2 linked regions of the Elephas maximus indicus genome follow. The protein of the gene in region 1 binds, or shares a complex with, the protein of each later gene. Links are inferred from orthologs where the notes say so. Each region holds a gene or a part of one and is shown in the gene's direction. Other genes may lie near its edges.

The links.
Region 2: the proteins of PRPF40A (region 1) and SF1 are in contact, whole or in part, in an NMR structure (PDB 8PXX), measured with the Homo sapiens proteins. The link is inferred for Elephas maximus indicus from reciprocal best matches to the Homo sapiens genes PRPF40A and SF1. Residues at the interface, in NP_001352526.1 of Homo sapiens: His164, Ser166, Tyr172, Tyr174, Ser181, Thr182, Trp183, Tyr213, Tyr215, Ser222, Arg223, Trp224; in NP_004621.2 of Homo sapiens: Pro575, Pro576, Leu577, Pro578, Pro579, Gly580, Ala581, Pro582, Pro586, Pro587, Pro588, Pro589, Pro590.

What each region holds. Positions count from the first base shown.
Region 1 is NC_064824.1:49,938,394-49,946,516, reverse strand, and holds the start of PRPF40A (pre-mRNA-processing factor 40 homolog A), read left to right. Parts: upstream 1-4,883; 5' UTR 4,884-5,139; coding exon 5,140-5,535; intron 5,536-6,548; coding exon 6,549-6,680; intron 6,681-8,123. Other genes in the region: ARL6IP6 (ADP-ribosylation factor-like protein 6-interacting protein 6), read right to left, coding at 1,776-1,829, 3,737-4,136.
Region 2 is NC_064825.1:127,945,529-127,952,916, reverse strand, and holds the start of SF1 (splicing factor 1), read left to right. Parts: upstream 1-4,336; 5' UTR 4,337-4,747; coding exon 4,748-5,087; intron 5,088-6,474; coding exon 6,475-6,603; intron 6,604-7,388. UniProt on the Homo sapiens protein: Necessary for the ATP-dependent first step of spliceosome assembly. Binds to the intron branch point sequence (BPS) 5'-UACUAAC-3' of the pre-mRNA. May act as transcription repressor.

The sequences.
Region 1 (8,123 bases):
CTTCTTGGATCAAGTAGACACATGAGACTATGTTGGCATCTCCTGTCTGGAGGGGAGACGAGAAGGCAGAGGGGGCCAGAAGCTACCCGAAAGGACACAAGGAGACACAGTGGAGGGAAGAACTGTGCTATCTCATTAGAAGGAGAGCAACTGGGAGCGTATGGCAAGGTGTACGTCAATTTTTTATAAGAGATTGACCTGATTTGTAAATTTCACTTAAAGCACAATAAAATTTTTTTTAAAAAAGGGCAGTTTCTGCTCATTCCTGAGTCTTGATAATAAATTCATGTCATTAGCAAAGCCTCAGATATAATCTTCCTATTTCCTATCACAGTATTACATATATAATAACGACAACAAAAAAATCGACCCCATTGCCATTAAGTTGGATTCTGAGTCATAGCAACCCTACATGACAGAGGAGAAATGCCCCAGAGTTTCCAAAAAGCACCTGGTAGATTTGAACTGCCCACCTTTTTGGTTAGCAGCTGAACTCTTAATGGCTAAGGCACCAGGTCTCCATATATTAGTTCAGCTAAAATGAGGTAGGGCCAGGGAATATGCAGGATAGGATGTACACATTTTTTTTTTAATTTGGAATGATTAATCAAATGAAACATAGTTAAATAGGCTAAAAATATGCCAAACATAGAGGACAGATAAAGTTCTGAGCTCTTGCTAAACCTAAAAACCCAAACCCACTGCCATTGAGTTGATTCCGACTCATAATGACAGAGTAGAACTGTCCCATGGAATTGCCAAGGAGCAGCTGGTGGGTTCAAACTGCTAACCTTTTGTTTAGCAGCCAAGCTCATAACCACTGTGCCACCAGGGCTCTGAGCTCTTGGTGGAGGGAAACAAATACAGGATAAATAACTCTTGAGAGTTTTTCGTTGAAAGTCTGTAAACTAACCAAACCCACTGTCACTGAGTCAACTCCAACTCATCACGACCCTACAGGACCGGGTTTCCAAGGCTGTACGTAAATCTTTCCGGAAGCAGACCGCCACATCTTCTTCCCACGGAGTGGCTGGTCCATTTGAACTGCTGACATTTTCGTAAACAGCGAAGTGCTTAACCACTGGGCTCCTTCCGTAAACTAATGCACTCTACACACACTCAGGTCTAACTCTTTACTAGTCATTAACTTATGCAAGTACACCCAATGTGCCTTTTTTTTTGAACAGAAGTTGCTTATAAAGGGATCTGAACTTAAATATCTACAAAGTTCTGCTTAAAATGTTATCTTTGCTAAGTTTATCAGGTTTTTTTTTTTTTAATTCCTGGAATGCCTCCTCCGAAGACAACTAGAAAATTTTAAGTATCCCATGGATTTGAGTCACATATTTTTATCAGTCGCTGTCAAGTTGATTCCGACTCATGGCAACCCCGTGTGTGCATAGTAGAACTAGTCCAGCCTGTGATCTTTCAGAAGCAGACTATCAGGCTTGTCTTCCAAGATGTCCGTGGGTGGGCTTGAATTGGTAACCTTTCGGCTAGTAGTTGAGCACTTGACTGTTTGTGCCACCCAGGGACTCGAATCACATATGGTAATACTCAAAATGTACTTCCAAAATTTTATAATGGGTGTGTGTGTGTGTATACAGACATACATCTATAAATATAACATAATAAAAACTCATCACATATATACGCAAATCAAAGACTGAATCAAGGGCACAGACGAACATATTGGGCATTTTATCTAAAATTTTGTACAATTTAAGTATGTTTTGAAAAGCAGAAGTGGACCTTAAATCAAATTAAGTCCATACCTAACAGCCCAGTGTCTACACCATCTTCATTCTTCAGATTCTCAGCATGCAACTCTGTAAATACAAAGAGAGGGCTAGGTAAAGAATAAAGTTATTTCGTAATGTGAAGTAATCAAAGGCTTGGGTGACATTGTGAAGTTGTGCAAAGTACTCCAGAGTCAAAGAACTGGTTTCGAATTCTGATTCTACTTACTAGCTACGTGATCTTCAGGAATCAAGTAAGACTTACCTTATAAATGGGAAAGCTAATGTTTACTTCATAGGGTTGCTGTGAAAACAGTTTAATAGCAATTGCAGAGCATACCAGGTCTTACTTCAATTCCTTCCCCCATTCTTTAGTATAAAAACAGCTCAATGTTTTCTGCAATGAACTTCAATTTACAACAATTTTATGACTTTATGATGCAAAGGCAATCTTTCAGAGAAAAACAAAAGGTAGAGGTATCACCTGTTTCTCTAAAGTTTGCTTTACACCACTTCGCTTTTACAAAAGACCTACGCTAGTACCTGTTTTCACTAACAAAAAAAAAATCCAGAGGATTTTTGCTTTTACAAAAAGAGGCAAAAAGTGGAAACTGCCATCAGCCATTTGTTTTGCAGTGAGCCTTTAAAGATGCAATACACACCCTGAGCAGTCAGTGGCATTGCCAAGCTCCTTCCATGGGAACTATACTCAGCATCTCAGCATTGTATATCATTCCTGCTTTTACTGCCTGGTAGTGTTATTTGGTATGATTTGGTAGGTTAGTTTTGGGGCCTGAGAAATGCTCGAAAAATTTTCCCATATAAATTAATGTTAATGCTTCTTTGTTTCACGCCATTTCAGCTTAAGAAATGTTTCACAGGAACTCTCTACATTCAGATATCAAGGGAAGCCTGTACCTAGAAAACTGTCTCTTAGAATTGCTGTGAAAAAATAAGGGGAGAGGAGAAGGAGTGATAAAATAATAAAACATTGGCAGCCAAGTAATTCATATTCACAGTTTACCATCTCATGAAGAGGTAAAATTCACAAAGTAACTTGTCAGTCTATCTTCTTACAATCAAGCATTGTAAGCTGTTAGATGCTATCTGCTGCCCATTAGGAGCTGGGAAACAACGAGTAAAAAATAACTGTAGTTAAACAAATATACACTATTTAGTCAAATGAAACTGACACTTCAGAGATGTGTCGGGTGTGTTCTATACACAAAGTAAGGTAGTTCTTTTCGTTTTATATTTTTTTCCAATAATTTGGCCAAGGTCACATTCACTACTCAGAAATGATATTTAAACTCAGGTATGAATCCTTCTACTTTTATATGCAGTACCCAACCATATAATACATCTGTATCAGCCTCTGCAAAACCTTTCAAGGCACATCTATTTTTATTCCAATCTGGCCAATATTTCAACTTCAGGCACTACTAAAGGGGGGAAAAAAAACCCTACGGACGCTGCGGTAAAACTTTACTTACTACACCCAGCTACAAATATAACATAAAACTAAGAGAGACTAATTATTTTACCCGTCCAAGTACAAATTTGGGTTGTGGGCTAGAACTTCTTGTCCTCCAGGAATTCTGTGAGTGTACAGAGGGATCGGTGGATCAAAGCCACTGAACCTGTAGCCTTTTCAATTACACCCATTTTTCACCGTCTCCTTTTAATGATGGTGTTTCTGAAATTTGCTTTTCTCAATATTTCACCCCAAGTGGTCACTGATTTTAAGATATTAAATCTTCAGAAGTACCCATTTATCAAAGGAATCATTCTTAAAAAAGAGTCTGCTGATCACAGACCAGGGTCTTCCACCTTGGGAAAGAGAAGACAAAAGGAGAAGAGCAAAGAAAGGTGCAGACGACGACTCTGAATGAAAGAGGCTGCCAGCTTGCCGGTGAAAAGAGGGAGAGATGGAGGCGAGGGACGCGTCCAGGCCCAACTTCTGCTCTGGGCAGACTTTCAGGCCCGCGCTTCAGTACCTTTTACTATCAGGTAGGCGATGGCAAGAAGGAATGCGAGGAGGGCGGCGAATAGCAGCGAACAGAGCACAGAGAGGACCTGGACCGGCCACCGCCGAGCCGAGGCTCGTCCGCCCACAGTCGCTGGGAAGATGCCATTGCGCTTATCGGGCAGAACCGGTGAACCGTCCCCGTGCGGCGGTAGCAGCGAGCCCTTCCTGAGCTCCGACGACCCCCCAGCCGAGAACTCGGCTCGCAAGTCGCGGGCCACTTGGTCGCATCTCTCCTCCTCGTCGACTTCGCCCTCGCCCCAACCGTCCCCCTGAGAGAAGGCGGAGTACACCGGCCGAGGGAGTGGGGCCCGAGTGCCAAGTCGGCGGCGCCGCAAAGCCAAGACGCTCCCGCTCTCCACAAACGACATGGCGGGAAAGACCGTGAGGCCCGCGGAGGCGGAGCGGCTCCCACCCTGGGCCGTCAGCAGCCAATCAGCGCCCGGGCCCTATCCCGGCCTCGACCACCCGGCTCTGGCGTGCAGGGGTGCGTAGGAGTTCGCAGCTGGCGGGAAGCAAGCAGACGGGCCTCCTAAAGAGCCCGAACGCCCCTGGACCAGAGCCCGACCCAGGGTCTGGCAATGCGGAGGGAGAGAAGCAAAGCGCGGAGCGGCAGGCGAGCCGAGACCGAAGGTAGCCGAATGCCTGGCTCCTGCAGCGCTTCGTTCCGGCCGGAGACCTCAGCCACCGCCGCGTCACCTCTAGGCAGGCGCGCGCCCTGATAGCTCCAATGCCGCACCTTCCCGACACCCGGTCCTAGCGCCCGCCTATGCCGCTCCGATACACGTTCCCGAACCTATTTGCTCTTTCCCTTTTCTTTGCTTGCCTTCTTCCCTGATTTCCTCCTTAAGAGCAGCTCACCGCCACGCGCTCGTGTCTTGCCTTAACCGCCCATTCCTAACTCTCTTCCGCATCTTTTTTTCTCTGCCCCTACCACTCCTTCCCTCCACGCCCTCTACACGCCTCTACCTCTCTTCTGCCAGGGCGTGCGCTCTCCGATCTGTTACCTACCTCGAACTCTCTTCTTTTGGGCCCCTCCTCCCGTCTTCCCCGCCCCCTCCCTTCCTTGCCCCTCCCACTGTCTCGAGCACTGCGCGCGCGCCATCTGGCCGCAGCCACCGCTAACGCTAGAAGCTGCCTACCCCACCCCCACCCACCGTACCCCTGGCGGCTTCAGGTTTGTGGGGCGTACGTAACTTGGTTGGGGGCGGTGAAGGCGCCAGGCCCCCGCTGCCCACCCCCTATGGAGGAGTGCGGCCGTCCCAACTAGGGAAGCTGGGACACTGTTATCTTCTCTTCCCCGGGGGAAGTTGGTGAAGTTTTCCCGGCGGAGGATTCGGAGCAGAAACTTCCTCCGTCCCCCTCCCCCCCTCCATGCAGGCGACGTCGAGTGAGGCTGGGGGCGAATCGCCGCAGAGCTGCGTGCCGGCCGCGCACTCAGATTGGGCTTCGGGGAAGCCTGTCAGCTTATTGGCCCCGCTGATCCCGCCCCGAAGCGCAGCGCAGCCTTTAACCTTTGGCCCCGGCGGGCGCCAGCCACTCAGATCGCTTCTTGTTGGCATGTGTAGCGGCAGTGGCCGCCGGCGGAGCAGTCAGAGTCCGACGATGAGGCCGGGGACGGGAGCAGAGCGTGGAGGCCTCATGGTGAGTGAAATGGAGAGCCATCCTCCGTCGCGGGGTCCCGGGAACGGGGAGCGGAGATTGCCCGGCTCAAGCCTTTGCTCCAGCTCTTGGGTCTCTGCTGACGGCTTCCTGAGGAGCCGGCCCTCGGTAAGGGATCGGTGGGGAAGGGGGAAAGTGGCACAATGAAAAACGGAGTCAGAGAGACAGGAAGCTTTCTCAAAGAGGAGAAGAGTGGACGGAGGAAGCGCTCGAGATGGTGGGATATGTTCCGATGGAGAGAAATGGGGGGCGGGGACGCACAAAGGGAAGGATGTGGGACCCTGGAAGTTCCCGGTGGGCTTGGCGTAGGCAGAGGCGTGGTGGAGATGCTGGGCCCTGGGCGGGGTAAGCGTCTAGGAGAGGTAGGCCTGATTTAGCAGGAAGAGGGAGGCGGAAACTTGGTTTTGTAGACTTTAAAAGAGGCTGCCAAAATTTGTTTTCACTAGTAGTGGGGGTGTCTGCAGTGGGAGCATTGGCAGGAAATTTACTTGGTTTTAAGACCTGGAACAATGGACACTTAGGTGAAGTGTTGTCTTTTTAAAGAGCATTAAAGTTGCATTTTTTCCGGAAGAATTTTACCTGTCTTAAAAGTTGTGTTAGGAAAGAATATGTTTATTTGTTAGGAGTGAAGTGTCCCTAGGTACCTATCTGTCTTTTCTAAGACCAGTTCTCATCTGAGTTAATTTGGTAAATTTAGCGTTTTAAAGTCATTTAAGTAACGTGTTTTAAAAAAAGCGTTATAAAATAGCAATAGATGGTTCTCTTTTGTATCTGTGAAATATGACAAAGTTGTGGCTTTCACCATGAGAGTTTAAAGTAGTTATTACATAAATTTCGTTCAAGTTTGGCAAGCCAGTTAGTAACTGATTAAATCAGTTTTTCTTTTTAAATTGATCTAGATGTTCAATGATGGTTTCAAGTTATATTCAGGAATATGGCAGTTGCAAGCTTGTTATAAACACTGTAGTGCATTTTTTGTTAATATAGGACAAGAGAGTATAAACTATCTGCGTAATTCAATCACACATTACTTTAATATTAGCCACTGCAGAGAACTCATTTGAGATTTTTGAGAAGCTCTTTCTGTTACTTGCTGATGTTTAGTTTTCATTATTTTTCAGATGGGACACCCTGGCATGCACTATGCCCCCATGGGAATGCACCCTATGGGTCAGAGAGCGAATATGCCACCTGTACCTCATGGAATGATGCCACAAATGATGCCCCCTATGGGAGGGCCACCAATGGGACAAGTAAGAATATTTTTGTATTTTTGTTTTGTTTTCCATTTATTTTTGTCTTCTAGTATTGTGTCAAGATGAAGTCTGGGTAAATAGTTATAGCTGTTTAAGGATTAGTTTATGTCAAAATAATGTTTTCAGATACAGCAAATGTTGGATCATGACTAACCAAATTTTGAATGTATCAAAAGTCTTCTGTACGAAAAACTTATTTCCTACCTCAACAAAACTAAGAGTTTCTTTTTTTTTTTTTTTTAAATTAACAAGGTACATTTAGGCTTTTTAGTTTAATGACTTTTTTTTAAGGATGTCAATTTAACTGAACGCTCTAAGAATAAGTATTATCTGATATGTCACATAACTTATATTGGTGGGCCATAAAAGATGAATACAAAGGATCTGAAAATAGGAATTGCTTAAGCCATTAACTGAGAATGAGTTCTATATTTTATTCCTGAAATATCTTCTTCTTTTGTGTGTATGTTGGAGGCGGGGCTGATGAGGTTCCTACTTCATAATTCTGATTTTTCATAGGATGCTGTCAAATAGGTAGCTCATTTTCCATTTATACTATTTTGTTTAAGCAAAATTTGTATTGCTTCTGCACTACTGCTTCTGAGCCGTCCCTTCCATCTCGAGCATGAATTGTAAATAGACATTTTGTAGGAGTGATTTAGATCAAAAGGTTTTAAGGCTTACTCAGTGGCTGATAGAACTGAATTCCTAGGAGAGCATTCAAGAAAGTTAACAGGTTAAGTTACTATGGATAATTTCATGTTTTCTGTATTAAGTCCTATAATACACAGGTCCTTTAGGTGGCTGGGTTATTTCCATTTGAGTATCTTGATAAATCATCAGAAATTTAGGCTAACAAAATATTTTGAAAAAAACCAGTCGATTTGATTTGATCTTTTGATAATTAGTACTGTTTTCTTTGATAATAATTTAAGTCACGATGGTTAAAGTTAATAGTGCAATTGCAGTGGACGAAAGGAGCTTGCTCTGTGTCTCTTTCTATTTAACCGTAAGAATAGAAGGGCTTAACGTCAAGTGGTTTTCTTCTTTTTTATTTGGAATATAGCCCTTAATTTTGTATAAAAATCTTTATTCAAAGGCACAGGCCCAAAAGATTCTGCCTGTAGGTGTTCTTTAAATAAAAGAACTGTTTATTCTGTGACTGTAGAGTAACATAAAATTTAAAATTCCCTATATGATGGAGAGACAACTCTGATTCCTCTTGTTTCTTTCCATCTCTAAACAGCAAGGAGCTCTTCTTGTTTTCTTGGTAGAGCTGCTCTAACTAGATAATGAGCTTTAAAAATATTTATTCTTTAAATGCTCTGGTTCTTATTTAAAATTAGTTTCTTTCCACAGAAAGATAAAATAAAACAATTTGCTACTGCCAGATGCTTCTCTCTTTTCTGGGGCCTTCTGTTTCCATTGGGCCAATCAAGG
Region 2 (7,388 bases), on another chromosome or scaffold:
ATAAAACTGCACACGGTATGAGAGCACCTTATACAGGGCAAAAGCAAGCAAAACCAACCATGTATTGTTTGATGCTACAAGCGCAACTCGATTCAAAAACCAAGGGAAGGAAAGCACAAATTCCAGACGGTGGTCCCTCCAAGGGGGCTTGGTACTCAGCTTGGGTGGTAGCTTCACGGGTGCCGAATTTACAACTCAGTTCCTAACTTACATAGGTGCATCCTTTTGTGGGTAACAAATATTGTGTAAAAAAATGTAATAAAATATTCAAAAATAATTACTCAGTGAAACCCTTCAATGGCTAAAAACCAAAACAACCTAAGACAATCCTTTCCTAGATGATGACTTAAGTGGAGAGAAATCATACCTGTGTTCTTTCCCAAACTGTGAACAGAATCCTCTCTCTGTAGTTGCCTTCTTCTATTATTTTTTAATAAGCAGCTTTATCAAGGTATAACTGACATACAATAAAATGTACTATTTGATGAGTTTTGATGTAGGTATACACTCATGAAACCATTGCCACAGTCAAGATAATGAACATTTCCATCATCACTTTCGAAGGTTCCCTCGTGCCCTTTGGTAATCACTTCCTCCTACCCCTCCTGGCCACCCCATCTTCTGTCACTGCACGTTCATTTGCATTTTCCAGCATTTGTATCAATGGAATCATAGTGCATGTATTCTTTTTGTTTGGCCTCTTTCACTTAGCATAATTATTTTGAGATTTATCCGTGTTATTGCAAGTATCAATAGTTCACTCCTTCTTATTGTCAAGTAGTATTCCGTTGCATGGATGTCTCACAGTTGGCTGATGGGCATTTGGATTGCTGCCAGTTTTGTACTACTAGAAATGAGGCTGCTGTGAACACGCATAAAGTCTTTTGCGGCTATATATACTTTCATTTCTCTTGGGAAAATACTTTGGAGAGGAATGGCTGGGTCATATGGTAGGTGGTAACCTTTTAAGAAACTTCCAAACTGCTTTCCAAGGTGGTTGTACCACTTTACATTCCTCCCCACAGCGTAGGAGAGTTCGTTACGCCACACCTTTGCTGACATTTCATACCCAGTAAACCCAGTGCCGTCTTAATTCTAACCATTCAAATGGGTGTGTAGTGGTGCTGTAGAGTGGTTTTTTTTAATATATATTTTATTTTTGTTGTTGAGAATATACACATCAGAACGTATACCAACTCGACAGTTTCTACATGTACAATTCAGTGACATTGATTGCATGCTTGGAGTTGTGCAACCGTTCTCACCCTCCTTTTCTGAGTTGTTCCTCCTCTATTAACATAAACCTCCTGCCCCTAAGTTTCCTATCTGATATTTTGATCTGTTGCATAGTGTTTTTCATTTGAATTTCCCTAATGACTAATGATATTGAGAATCTTTTGTACTTATTTACCATCCTTTGGTGAGGTTTCTGTTCGAATCTTTTGCCCCTTTTAAAAGATAGGGTTGTTTGTTCTTTTACTGAGTTTTCAGAGTCCTTTATGTATTCTAGATACAAGTCCTTTATCAGATACGTGATTTGCACACATCTATTGCTCTGTTTTTCTAATTTGTACCTAAGTCACAAATTCTACTACCCATCTCCCCCCCCCCCCCCCGCCCGGTTCAGATTGGAAGCTATAAGTAAACATGGTTTTCCAGAAAAGAAAAATTATGGGAAGTATGTGGGTCCTGGTGGTGCAGTGGTTAAGAGCTTGGCTGCTAATCAGAAGGTCTGCAGTTTGAATCTACCAGCTGCTCCTTGAAAACCCTACGGGGCGGTTCTACTCTGTCCTGTAGGGTCACTATGAGTTAGAATCAACTTGAGGGCAACAGGTTTGGTCTGTTTTTGGATGTGGGTTCTCATTCCATGGTAGATATCATTACTCCTAATTGGGATATGGGATCACATGCAGGGCTCTCCAAAAGTTGGACAGGGGATTCACTCCTTACAGGCTTGGCCAGCTGTATCTTGCCCAGGGCCTGGGGGTTCTGAGCTATCAAGTATAGAGTTAAGACACAGAAAATGCCAGGGATTAGGAGGAAAAGGCTGAAACTTCTCACCCTTGTATAAAGCCAGGGAGCATCTATGTCTGAAATCTGTGTGCAGCTCTGGCCCCTGCAGCTCAGCAGATACCACGTTAAAATCAACTGTGTTCTCCGATCTCATGGAATCTACACAGTACCCTGCAGCGCAATGCCATCATCTATATTCTGCAGAAGTAACTGAGGTACGGAGAGATGAAATGACTCCCCTAGTTGCCAGCTGATGGATATCTGAGGCTGACTCCCAACTTGCCTCAAAACTGGGAAGCACTTGCTCAACACTCCTTAAAATCAGAAAGTGGCACAGTTTGGATTCAAATCCTCTTCCGTCCAACTCAGGAGTCTCAGGCAAATAGAAACTATATGACTTTGTAATCTTGGGCTAGTCTCTTAAAGCTCTCTGTGCCTCAGTTTTCTCATCTGTAGAGATAATACTCATCTCATTCAACAGAATGCTTTCCAAAAAAGAAATTCACAGTAGGTGCTAATATTTACATATTTTGCCATTTTGATGGTTATATATGGAGATTCCTGTACCATTTTAATTGGCATTTTCTTAGGGAGACTGTGCACCTTTCATGCTTCTTGGCTATTTGGATTAGCTCTGGGAACTTGTCTGTTCATATTCTTTGCTCATTTTTCTATTGTTTTTGTCTTTTTTGCTAATTAAAGAATTGTTTATTATAGACATTAGCCCTTTATCTGCCATATATGTGCCAAATAGCTTTACTAACCTATCATTTCTGTTCTCTTTTATCACAGGAAATTTTTTTGTAATCAAGCATACCTTTTATAAATAGTTTGAGTTTCCTGTCTTCCTAAATTCTCTCAACCCCTAGATTACCCTATTGTCTCCTAAATTGTAATCTGAATGTTTATTTATATTTAAGACTCTGTACCATCTAAGGGGAAACCCTGGTGGTGTAGTGGTTAAGTGCTACAGCTGCTAACCAAAGGGTCCACCAGGTGCTCCTTGGAAACTCTATGGGGCAGTTCTGCTCTGTCCTATAGGGTCGCTATGAGTCAGAATCGACTCGATGGCACTAGGTTTGGTTGGTTTTGGTACCATCTAAGGAGTCTTGGTGGCACAGCTCGGCTGCTACACCAGCTGGTCCTTGGAAACCCTATGGGGCAGTTGTAACTCTGTCCTATAGCGTTGCTATGAATTGGAATTGACTCAATGGCAATGGGTTAATAACTAAATCATTTTTTCTTTACTGAATTGAAACATCACTTTTCTGGTATTCGTGCTTGCATATGGGGAATCTATTTCTGGACTCTACTCAGATTCTGCTCCACCGATCTGTCCTTCCTACAGCCAATATACGGTTTTCGTCATTGTGTCTTTATACTACCCTATCTGGAAAGGCGAGCTCTTCCTCAACCTCTGTTACACCTTTTTCCACCATTTTCATTCGGATATGATTTTTAAGATAATTTCTCCAAATCCCTTCCAACCCCGTTGGGATTCTAATGGAAACGATTTATTCTTGTTAATTTTAGAACTGACAATTTCATATTATCATTCACCTAAGATTTTTTTTAAGATTATTTAAGATTATGTTCTCACATTAGCTCAGATAATTTTTAATCCTTCAATAAGACTATGCCGTAGCTGGCTTCTTTTTTTTTTTTTTTTTTTGCACTTTTTAGTTTTTTCAAAGAAAACCCAAACCAAATCCACTGCCGAGAAGAGTCGATGCCGACTCCTAGCTATAGAACACAGTAGAATTGCCGCATCTGGCTTCCCAGGCTGTAAGTCTGTACTCTTCCGCAGAGCGCCTGGTGGGTTTCAACCGCAAATCTTTCGGTTAGCGACCCAGCGCTTAAACACTGCGCCACCAGGGCTCCTTCAAAGAAAACAGGAAGTCCCTTTTTACCTGCAGCGACAACGGATCCGGTTACTGCGCGCGCGCGCGTCGCCCCCCCCACCCCGCCACTCCACGGGCCCGGGTTACCATGGGAATAGAGGATGACGTCACCCAAAGCTTCAGCGCCGGACCCAGGGGTCCACAGCCGACAGGGCTGGAAAGGCGGCTTTGCCATATCTACGCATGCGCACTCCCTGCCCCTCCTTCCTGCCTTAAAACTCGTTGGTGCTGGGGCTCCTCAGCCGCGACCTCTTGGTTCATCCGGTCGAAACTTCGCCCCGGAGAGTAGAAAAAGAATCGAGCGAGTGACAGCCAATCCCAAGACATTACGACGCCATCAAGATTGACTGACTCAACGGACTCCAGCCAATGAGAGAGCGCTCCTCTTCCACGTCATAGAGTTTGCCCATCCCCTCCCCGCCTTCCTGGACTCCGAGCTCAGTCCGCGCAGTAACAAACGAACTGCGCGCAGCGACAGCCCCAGCTCGCCAGGCTTCGCCGCCATTTCCTCCCTCGGCCTAACGGTTCGGCCAATCCCAGCGCGCATCGACAACGGCTAGGGACCGGCCAATCGGAAGACGCCGATCCCGACCCCTCGAGCCTCGGCCCGGTCCAATCGAGGCCCCGGCCCCGCCGCCCCCGGCCCGCCCCCGCGGCGCCCTCTCTCCTCCCTCTTTGTGCGTCTCGCGCCGCCGCCGCCGCCGCCGCCCGCCGCGTGAGAGGACGGCTCCGCGGCAGCGCAGTCCGGCCCCCCCCCGGAAGATTGGCGAAGGAGAAGCCGCCGCCGCCGCCGCTAAGGAAAAGGAGCCGCCGGTGCCGGTCCCAGGGGCGCCATGGCGACCGGAGCGCTGGGTAAGCTGGGCCTCCCCGGGCCCAAAGGGAGCTTCGAGCCGGGGCCGCCGCCCGCCCTCGGGCCTGGGGCGGGTCTACTGGTGCCCGGGCCGCCGCCGCCGCCGCCCGCGGGCGCGATGGGGGCCCTGACCGCGGCCTTCCCCTTCGCGGCGCCACCGCCGCCGCCCCCTCCACTGCCCCGGCCGCCGCTGCCGTCCCCGGGCTCCGCGAACCCGCCGCCGCAGCCGCCCCCTCCGCCGCTCTACCAGCGCGTGTCGCCGCCACAGCCACCCCAGCCGCCGCGTCAGGACCAGCAGCCAGGCCCGGCCGGCGGCGGAGGAGGTGAGTCGGGCCGAGCGCGCGAGCGGCGTCGCGCCGACGGGCCCGGCCGGCTGAGGGCCGCGCGGCTTCGGCGGCGGCGGCGGCTGCACGCGGCAGGGGCGCGCGCGGCCTGGTTCACGGGGACTCTACCGCGCACGCGCGCGGGGGGAGGGGAAGAGCGGGAGGCAGTCTGCTGTGCGCAGGCGCAGTGTGGCGGCCAGGCCTCGGGGCGCCGCTGCAAAGCCCGGGGCCCTTATTTGCTCTCCGGTCCGCTGGCATAGGGGGAGGCGTTGAGTGGCCCGGGTGTAGAGGGTGGCAGGTGGGTAGACCGGGAGGACAGGAGAGCGAAAGGGTGAACTCGTGACTTGGGCCGCCCTTTTGATGGTCTAAGTTGTCTGAAAGGGAAAAGAATACCCAGAATCGCCTCCCTAGTTGCACCTTAAGGCGAGGTTTTCAGTACAAAGAATGAAAGAGGTTGAGAGTTTCCACCTGATGGTTGGGGCTGTTCCTTCCTGGTCCCTTTTTGTGGGGTGGGGTGGGGGGAATCTGGTCACTGCCTTCCCTGTTTTATTTTCTGATCTCCCTTCGTTTACCCTAGAGCTTGCTCAGTCTCACCGCCTCCACTTTACTGTTGTTTTTAAAGACTTTCCCTCTTGGCTTGCACCCTTGGGGAACTAGAACGACTTCTGCGTGCTAACAGTTGGGAGTTTCTGCCTCTCTGTCGGGGAAGGGCCGCTTAGCTGCTTTCACATACCTTGTTGGTGTGAACTCATACATCTTTGAAGAGTTCAGACTTTAAGTGTCTACCTGGCCGGGATCACCGAATGCTGATCATGGCTAAACGCATGGAGAGTAAGGTGGTGGTGTTGAAGGATTGGGCTTTTCACGCAGTAGTGTGTAGTGATGAGTTCAGGGGTATCCCGGCTCCATTCAGAAAGGTGACTGGTGCGGGGTGGAGGTAGGAGCCAGCAGTTCCCCCAGCATTGTTCTACAGATTGTCTGTGGTCCTTCACTCTGCTCCTGTCTCCCCTGGGGCTTCTGAGGCATTCCGGCCAAGGTAGTATAGACGCTATTTACTTTGTTAGTATTAAATTTAATTACGTGAGATTTTGTGTACTACGTTTTGTCATTTCATATACACACGTTAGTAGTTTCTTTAGAGGGAAGTTATAAATGTGTAACGTTAACTTCTCTGACCCAGCTTCTCTTACGCTTGTAGTAGCCATATGTTTCGTTTTAATCTCTGATCTCTGACATTTGTCTTACATTCCGTGATGTTTAAGTTTTAGGTTGGGCCCTCAGTTTCGCCATCTGCTGAGGTTCTGTGGAATACAGGTGTCTTGTGCTGCCTGTTGGCAGTTACTGTGCTAGTTTGTATTTGCATCTGATGGATTTTATCTGCCTTTAGACTTCCCGAGTAAGAAGCGGAAGAGGAGCCGCTGGAACCAGGACACAATGGAACAGAAGACGGTGATTCCAGGAATGCCTACTGTTATTCCTCCTGGACTTACTCGAGAACAAGAAAGAGCTTATATAGGTAAATACACGTTCTGCATCTAAACGCATTTTCAGGTTGTTACTGTTTATCCTGAACAATATTTCTGTCCTTTGGCAGTTTGAGATTTTAGTGGTTTCTTTTTTGACAAGAGGTATGATGAGGTGTACTTTTATGGCTTTAACATAACCTGCCAGTTTTTGCTCAGTGAGTCCTGCTTTTGCAGTTCAGTGTTTTGGTTTGTTGATAACAACAGTGTTCTCCACGAGCGCCAGGAAGGTAGAGGGGCCCACTTAGGAGTGAGCGTAGTGTCCAGGCCATCCCCCACCTCACTCCATCCTTTTCAGCTGCTGTTCAGTTTCCTTGCCAGTTGGTGAGGTGAGTGTCTGGTGCCTCTGGACATGGCCCCAGTGGAGAACACTGCAGGTATTGTACACCCAAGTAAAGTGCCTTTTTCGCAGCATGGCCTTTCATCATAATTTTGTATTCCTCCCTCCCCCTAAAACGTGGTTTTACTTTTTTATAGGTACTTTCTGAAAGAAAAAAATAAAGCTCAGTTTAAACAAAAAAGTGGTTCTTTAAGTGTGTTTACAGTTCACCCCTATTTACCATTTTGTTGAATTTAACCTTCCCTTCAGCATCTTTTCTGGTTTGGTCCTTGGAGAGCTGTCTTAAAATGAAGGCTCTTGTATTTACTACTAAAGGATTCTGCTGGGAAAGGGATACGGCTTGGACATGGAATGAGGTGTAGGGTAAAAGGTCTGGTCTGTTGGGAAATTTCAAGAATTAAGCATGACTGCCATTGGCCCACACTGGAATCAAAATTA